Linked DNA regions of Oryzias latipes. The protein of the gene in region 2 binds, or shares a complex with, the protein of the main gene of each other region. Links are inferred from orthologs where the notes say so. Each region holds a gene or a part of one and is shown on either strand. Other genes may lie near its edges. The genes, in order: nup62 and nup58.

Evidence for each region.
Region 1: nup58 (region 2) and nup62 share a complex: the UniProt entries of both Homo sapiens proteins name them as parts of the p62 complex. The link is inferred for Oryzias latipes from reciprocal best matches to the Homo sapiens genes NUP58 and NUP62.

Annotation. Positions count from the first base shown.
Region 1 is NC_019879.2:22,073,809-22,078,030, forward strand, and holds nup62 (nuclear pore glycoprotein p62), read right to left. Parts: upstream 2,774-4,222; 5' UTR 2,458-2,773; coding exon 955-2,457; intron 861-954; coding exon 702-860; 3' UTR 548-701; downstream 1-547. Other genes in the region: pdk1 (pyruvate dehydrogenase (acetyl-transferring) kinase isozyme 1, mitochondrial), read left to right, coding at 3,667-3,775, 3,919-4,060, 4,139-4,210. UniProt on the Homo sapiens protein: Essential component of the nuclear pore complex. The N-terminal is probably involved in nucleocytoplasmic transport.
Region 2 is NC_019878.2:13,567,259-13,571,079, forward strand, and holds part of nup58 (nucleoporin p58/p45), read right to left. Parts: intron 3,693-3,821; coding exon 3,613-3,692; intron 3,472-3,612; coding exon 3,353-3,471; intron 3,148-3,352; coding exon 3,065-3,147; intron 2,873-3,064; coding exon 2,671-2,872; intron 1-2,670. UniProt on the Homo sapiens protein: Component of the nuclear pore complex, a complex required for the trafficking across the nuclear membrane.

The DNA.
Region 1 (4,222 bases), on a different chromosome or scaffold from region 2:
AAGGGAATGTGCTAAAAAGACTGTTTTTATGGGTGTAACTGCTTCTTTTTGTCATATATAAAACAATTTAAAGAATTATTTCTAATGAATCTTCCTTTTCTATATAAAAAAAAAAACATCTTCAGCTTCTCCGTAAATTAAGTTTAAAACATTGTTTTGACAAAACTCAAACAAATGCTGAAGTCAATTCCCCTTCAAACGAGTGTCATAGCAAAAACATCCTAATTGAAAATCCACCTTGCAAGTATTAACCCTTGTGCTATCCTAGGCACTTTAACATTGGGAGTGGGGTCATCTAGACCCACTAGACAGTGCGCTGAACCTTTTTTCTTCAATGATTTGTGATCTTCACTGGTGTCCATGGATTACATGAAATCTTTCCACCTTTGTCATGGTAGGGAGAACACGTCAATGTAAGGGTGGGGTCATCTAAGATAGCACAAGGGGTAACATCAGTCTTAGAACAAGAAACAAATCTTGTCATTAGATGTTTTTCAATCCTAAATATAGATAAAAAACAGGTAAAATTAGGATGTGAAAACACAAAAAAGTTCAAAATTTGTTTTTAATCATTCTATTCAGGTAGATACAATTATAAAGATGATTGCATTTAAAATAGTTTTGCAACACACAATAGAAGTATAATAAAGGAGAAAATCCAAAGCAAAATGGGAAAAATAAGCACTGAGCCAAAAAACAAATCAGTCAAAGGTTAGACGAAAGGTCTTCTCCTGCTCTTTGCGCTGGGTGTCGCACTGTTTGGACACTTCCTCCACTCTTCTGTGCAGCAGGACAGAGTTCTGGTCGATCCACTGCAGCGAATCCATGTGAGCATTCAGGATCTTGCAAATCTGCTGAAGCTAAAGGATTCAAAAAGAAAGGAAGGCGATTAAAACAGCAGAAGACTTGATTTTATGAGAAATATGATTTAAAAAAAAAAGGCTCAGATCTTACTGGATCACTGGTGTCTGCCGGCCCGCTGGATGTGTTCAGGTGCTCAATGATCTCCTTCAGGTCCTGTGACATCCTCTTCAGCTGGGCGTCCACGTTCTCAGCGAGCTTGTATGTTCTTTCGCGTTCCTCGTCTGCGTTCTGCATGTAGATGGTTCCGCTCTGCTCCTTCACAGTCTCTTCCAGAGGGCAAAGCAAGTCCTCCAGCTCCTTCTGCTGGGACAGAATGAAATCGAGCTCCTGGTTGAGCCTTCTCTGGTCCAGCTTCACCTTCTCCATCTCCTTATGCAGAGACGTGATCTTTTCCCCGTTCTCCACCAGCATTCTGTCCCAAGCGTTGACCTGAGTTGCCTGCTGTAAGAAATGCCTCTCTTGGTCCTGAAGTTCAAGACTCCACTTGTTTATGAGACCCTCCAGCTGGGCGTAGGTCATCACCGGAGGGGCCGTGGTGGTGGTTGTAACGGCTGTTGCTGTGGAGGCTGTTGTGGAGCTTGAGATGGTCGGAGGTTTGAATCCCAGCGTGAAGCCTGCGGTGGCATTAGCTGTGACAGCTGCAGTTGTTGTGGTGGTGGTGGAGCCGGTGTTTGCTGCTGTGCTGGCAACGGACCCCAGAGGCTTGAGCATGAAGGATGGAGCTGTACCTGCAGCTGTGGATGCTGCCATGCTGGTTGACAACGCTGGAGCTGCACCCAAAGTAAAACCTGAAGTTGGCGCTGCTGCAGAGGTTGTGATGATAGGTGACGCAAACAGAGACAGGCCTAGGGTGGGGGCTGACTGGGTGGGGGCTGACTGGGTGGATGCGGGAGGAGCTGGTGTTGATGAGGGTTTAATTCCGAAGTTAAACCCTCCACCCTGGGTTGGAGCTGCTGGAGCTGCAGCTGCTGGGGCTGGCTGGGTGAGGGTGGAGGGGGCAGGGGTCCCGAAGCTGAAGCCTCCTCCCCCCGCTGCGATGGTTGTGCTTGCAGCTGAGGTCACCTGGACTTTCGGCGCTCCGAAGCTGAACCCTCCGAAAGCCATGCCACCTGATGCGGTGGTTGTTGTAGGTGCAACTGTCGCTGCGGGTGGGGCCTGGGAGGTAGCCCCAAAGTTGAAGCCCCCTCCCGCTGGAGCGGCGCTGTTCGTCTGCGAAGACAACATCCCGCCCAGGGTGAAGCCGGACCCCGCAGCTGGAGCGGCCGAGGAGCCTAAGGTCAACCCAGTGGCGGCGGTGGTTTGGGTAGTCGTGGCCAGGCCGAACGTGCCGGTGGCGGCGGCGGCGTTGGGTGTGCCAAAGGAGAAGCCGGTGCCGCCGGCGGAAGAGTTCTTAGCCGGTGCGCCAAAACTGAAGCCACCGGTCGGGTTGGCGTTGGTCTGACTCTGAGTCGGAGTGCCAAAAGAGAAGCCCGTTCCCGAAGCCGCAGCCGTGGAGTTCGTTAAACTGAAGCCCGGGGCCGGAGCGGCCGCTGTGGTCTTCTGCGCTCCGAAGGCAAAACCCGAAGGTTGCCCGAAGTTGAATCCGCCACTCATGTTCTTCCTCTGATAAAAACAAAATGACTTTACAGCTTACGAACAAAATGGTATCTTTCACCACAGTTTTTGGCGGGTCGCTAGCACGAGCTGCCGGTTCAACTAGCTTCACCGAAGAAAAACCGTCTAATGAGAGGACTTCTTACGTTAGCCACGGATATTTTAAATCATAGTCTAATAACTAATTCTTTCACTGTGCCGGTAAATATAATAATACTAGCGAAGCATCTTTAAAAAAAACGTGGGTAACTGACCAAACGTTTCTTTGAGCATACTTTCTGTTGTAGCTAAAGGAAGTGACGCCACTTTCAACATGCAATTTTGCCCTCAATTCTGTCTGTCAGAGAAAAAGCCCCACCCTCTAGTTTAGATTGACATCCTTAACACCAAATTACTGTGCCGAAATGAAAAATGCTGACATTTGATTGGTTTTTATTTTTTAACCTTACAGACAAGCACTGGGGATCAGAGCGACGGCATTTCAACCAGTCAAAGAGTTAATAGAGGACAAGAGATGCACAGAACGCACTTTTTAGTGTCGTAGATATGAACTACATGTTAATAATTCCTCTTGCATTTTGCTAAATAATTAAAATTATATAAATTCGTTTTGTTGTTAAACGCTTTAAAGTAAAACAACATATATTTTATTTGTCACGCAAATATGTATTACTTTCTACATTAGTGGTGTTTTTAGCGGTCTAATCTAACCCATCTGATATGCGGGTTAGGAACCAAAAGTGATCAATTTGTAGGTGGCGAACATCCCAAAAGTTGTATTCCAACCACCATAAAATAAAAGCAGAAGAATAATCTATTTAAATTGCATAAAAGTTGTCATCTTTATTTTATAAAGACTACTGCAAAATAGTTGCGTTGTTCTCTCGGCGTCGAATCAACTCTTTGAACTTGCTAGCTCAGCTGCGGAGTGGGTGCGTTTGCCGTGTTGACTTTTGACTGAATTTTACAGAGGACGTCCGAAGTGAGGGATGATGCTTTAGTCCGTCTGTGACCATGCCTGCAGCAGGAATTCAGTCCAAGTGGAAACACGGTCGATAATCGCAAACGTGCGGGCGAACTGCTGAGTTTAGCCAACAAGCTAGTGTGTCAACAAGCGTCACATATTTATTGTTGTGGCCGCGTGCGCCATAAGAATTCGGACGTGTCGTGTGTGTTTGAAATCTGATCAAGTCGAGGCCGGAGAGCAACATGAGGCTTTTAAGGTTCCTGAGGAAGAGCGTGGCGGTCGGGAAGGACATTGACTATTACTCAAAGTTTTCTCCTTCGCCTTTATCCATGAAGCAGTTTCTGGATTTTGGTAAAATGAATTTTAGATGCTTTAAATATAGTTGTAATTTACTCCCCCTCTCTCTATGTGTGTGTATTCTAGCTTATGGTTGGAATTTTAAAGGATACTTTAAAGTATTTTTGAAAGTCCTCCATGTTTTTGTCTTCCTTCAGGTTCTGAAAATGCATGTGAGAAAACATCCTTCGCCTTCCTCAGACAAGAGCTCCCTGTGAGGCTGGCAAACATCATGAAGGAAATTAATTTGCTGCCAGATAATCTGCTGAGAACTTCATCAGTTAGCTTGGTCCAAAGCTGGTGTGCTTTTGTTTTTATTAATATTTTCCTATGAGTTTTCTGTTTGCACACACGTTTATGGATATTTTCCATCCCTAGGTATATGCAAAGTTTCCAGGACATCCTTAAATTCAAGGACAAAAATGCAGACAATGAAAAAGTCACACATGAGTGAGTCGTTTT
Region 2 (3,821 bases):
CACTTCAAACTCCAAAAACCTTAAATACAGCAATTCACTTTTTATACTGCCAGTATACTACAAATGTAGAATCATGGAAGACAATGTTAAGAAACCACACAAATAATTTAAATTCCTCAAGAAGTTGATTGGAATTCCATCTCTATATTACAAAAATATTAGTGTTTTTATGGAAAAAGCCAGAAAGGTTTTTCCTTTTTTAAATAAATAAACTCCACCAATAAACAATTAAATTAGGTTTGCCAATGATCCCTGTACGCACTGACAATGTATTAACACCGTTTTCTTTGCCTCTAGTTTGGATGTTAACACTTTCTACATCACGTAATACTGTAAATTCGAACTTGACACTTGGCCGTTTGATTTGGCACCAACATCTACCTCTCTGGTACCTGTGGAGCAGCGCGAGCGGCAATCCTCTATTCCCAATGACCTGAATCTCAACCAACCTATACGAAGATTTGACTGAAAGATTTTCTACACAAAACGAAAAGCACCTTACAACTAGAATCCAGGTCAAGTACCCAAATGTTAAGAAAGAAATACCTGAAACTCAGAATCAGCATTTGAACTCCACATTTTTCTTTGAATGATAGAAATGAACTAGCCCTGTTATGCCGACTGTAGCCCTTGGGTAAAAGTAATGTATCAAGAAACAGTGATATTGGCCTGATACCAAAATGACTCCATTCAATATCAAGCAGTGAGATGAAAAGTACATTTTTTTCTCCTGAAACCAAACAACTTAAGGCCAACAAAACCTGACTGGGTCTATTTCAACAAGGTCATCAAGCAGTCACTGAAGGACAAAGCCTCAGTAGAAATCAACACGTCTGGAAATTTGACATTTTCAATCCTGAGTCTTTGAATGTTTTGCGCCAACAAACAGTGTCAGGAAAACACACAACCGCACTGTCAATGTATGTGATAAAGTCTACCAAAGGAAAAGTGCTTCTGTTCACCCTCCACATGCGTCAAGTAACCCAGAAATAAATAGCTAAATAAATACAAGTTGCAATTCAGCATGGAAAAATTGATCCACTTATTTAAGACGTTGGCTATTCAGCACAACAAATCAGTGTTCAAAAAAAAATACTATTCTGTGGCACACGGTCAGAAAATGATTGGCAGTGAGTTTAAATGTAAAGAATGGATTCTCATTGAACAGTGATCATAGCACAAGTATGCAGATTTACAACTAGAAACTTTATAACTTTATAAACACAAAGCAAAACAAACAAACGCAATCTTCAGCAGGCACAGAGGTGGTGTTCACTCGTAACACAACAGTGGGTTATACTGGTTGTGGTAATGAGATAGTTAGAGAGGTGCCTTCAGTGTTTACATTGTAGTACACAAATACTCCCATCCCTCCACGGCACATATTTTTTTTATGAAGTATGTGATTACTCAAAGAAGTGAAGTAATCAAAAGTAGAGGAAAACTACCAATGAAAAGCGAGCAGCACTTCAGTTAACACATTGCAAGTAGATATAACAGTCTATGCAAGTTTGGAAAGCTTTGTTTAAAAATAAGCAGCAAATATTGTTTGACATGAGACTGGAAATCCTATTTTTAAGGACACTGCCAACGAAGAGTGTTTAGACTTTGCTGAAACCCAGTCAAATATTGCTCTCGAAATCATCTGAAGTGTTTACTTCTTTTTGTTAAAAGTTTATGGGAACAAAAGGCCAGCAGAAACTTGCTACTAACAGCTTTGTCTGTTCATCACAACATTGGTGCCCTGATATGCCAGTAAGATGGCCTACAAACCAAAGCCTACAAAAATGGCTGACAATATCAAACACCACAGACGCGTGATGGAAAACACAGACTAGTCATTTCAGTTGAGAAATTGTTCAATAAAGCCAAAATGATGTATCCACAAGTGATGAAGATTTTAGGAATACATGTCCAACGGAAACGCTGAAAAATGTTTTTTGGACAAAGAGATGAAGTGATCGGAAACATTCTTAAATGGAAGTTAAATCTGCTCATTTTGGATCATGTGAACAGTTGAATTCCTAAATGTTTTAACATGTTTCAAATAATGAACTGTCTGATTTAAAAATTCTGATAAAGATCTGGAGAACTGCAAAAACCCTACAAGAATAGGTTATGTTATCTATAGCGGTCTACAGAATACTGTTAGAGTTTGGATTGGGATCTGTACATATTTTTCATAGGAATGGTGAGTTTTCTTCCATTAACAGTGTTTCTTTTTCCCCCCCAGTGATTCCACTGGCATAACAACATTTCAGAGGATTTTCTTTAAAAAAAAAAAGTGCAAACTGACAGAGTTAGGTGTTAATTGTGCACTGGAGCCGACTGTAACCTTACACTTAGACTGTGAGGTTTAATTGGATGGTAAGGCAGTGCAAAAACTCATGTCAGATGTCTCAAGCAGATTTCTAGATCCCTGTCACACACTTTTCTTTCAAAGTAGTTTACACACAGTCAGAATAACACCATCAAGTGTTATTTCTGATAATTCTGTCGTCTTTAAAATTACTTGCAACCAAAACACTTTGATACTTAAAAAGAACAAACAAAAATAAAACAATCACCCTGCCCTTCCAACACTTCTTATTTAGTTTCTCCTCCCTACTTTTATTCTCTTAACCAAGGTGATGAGGAGGAGTACTTTCTAGAACTTGTAGGCAGTCAGACCTGGAGTTGGCTGCTGTTGCTGGGTCAACGTGGCTGCCATGGCAACAGCTGCAGCGTTGGGTACGGTGGAGAAGGGAGCAGGCCCAGTTGTGACTCGTGATGCACTCTGCCATTTCCTGTTGGACGCGCGCTTGGTCTCAAAAATGTCTGTGGTATCTTCCAGAAAGGCTCGACGATAGGAAAGATACTGCTGCTTCAAAATCTGCAGCACCAGATATTAAAATATTTACATGACATTACCATACAAACAAATGGCAAAAACAAACAAATATTTAACTTTTTGTTAACAATTCTGTATCTGTGATTAAAAAAAAACTATTTGTTGATATATATAGTAATATTTAGGAGATTTGAAATTATCCGACACATTTTACTGTTAAAAAAAAAACCTGACCTTGACGTTCTCATGGACAGACTGAAGCTGAGCAGCCTGTGCGACAAATGTTTGGTACAACTTTTGCATGGCCATCGTCAAATCTGAAAGGAAAGAAAAACATCCTTAGGCTGTGTGCTAATTTAGCATACGCTAAAAGAAATGATAAGATATACAAGGCAGATGCAAAGCAAGAGTAGATAAACGTTTACAGGTGGCTATATTATCTATTTGTTTATCCTAAATCTTCATAAACAGACATGTTGGTTTAAAATACAGGATAACACATCATGAATAAGGACAAATTACCCTGAGGAGTGATGTGGGAGCCGCTGCTCTGTGTTGTCAGGTGATTTTCCAGCTCTTCGATCTGCTGCCGGTACTGTTGCAGCTGCACTTCAAACTGCTCCACAAGGCTTCGGAAATAACTAGTTAAAAAAAAGAAAAAGAAGTACTCAAGTTCCTGTCTATTAAAGAATTCACATATTTTTAGAGCAAAGAGGGAGCGATTTTCTTTGAATCCTTTGAGCTTTGAGGCCTCCTGGACATGTGGTCGTTGACTGACTTACTCTGATGGAGCTGTGTTTTCATGCTGGAGTCCAGGGGGGGTCTTCTGTGTCCGCAGTGCTATGTCAGCATTTTTCAGCTCCTTACAAACAAAAATAACATTTGAAAAACAGGTTTTAATTGACCTACTTCACATTGAGAAACAAAACACTTTCTCTACTCATTTTATTTCTAAAAAAAACAAGAAATTAAAAAAAGGGCTAATTTTTAT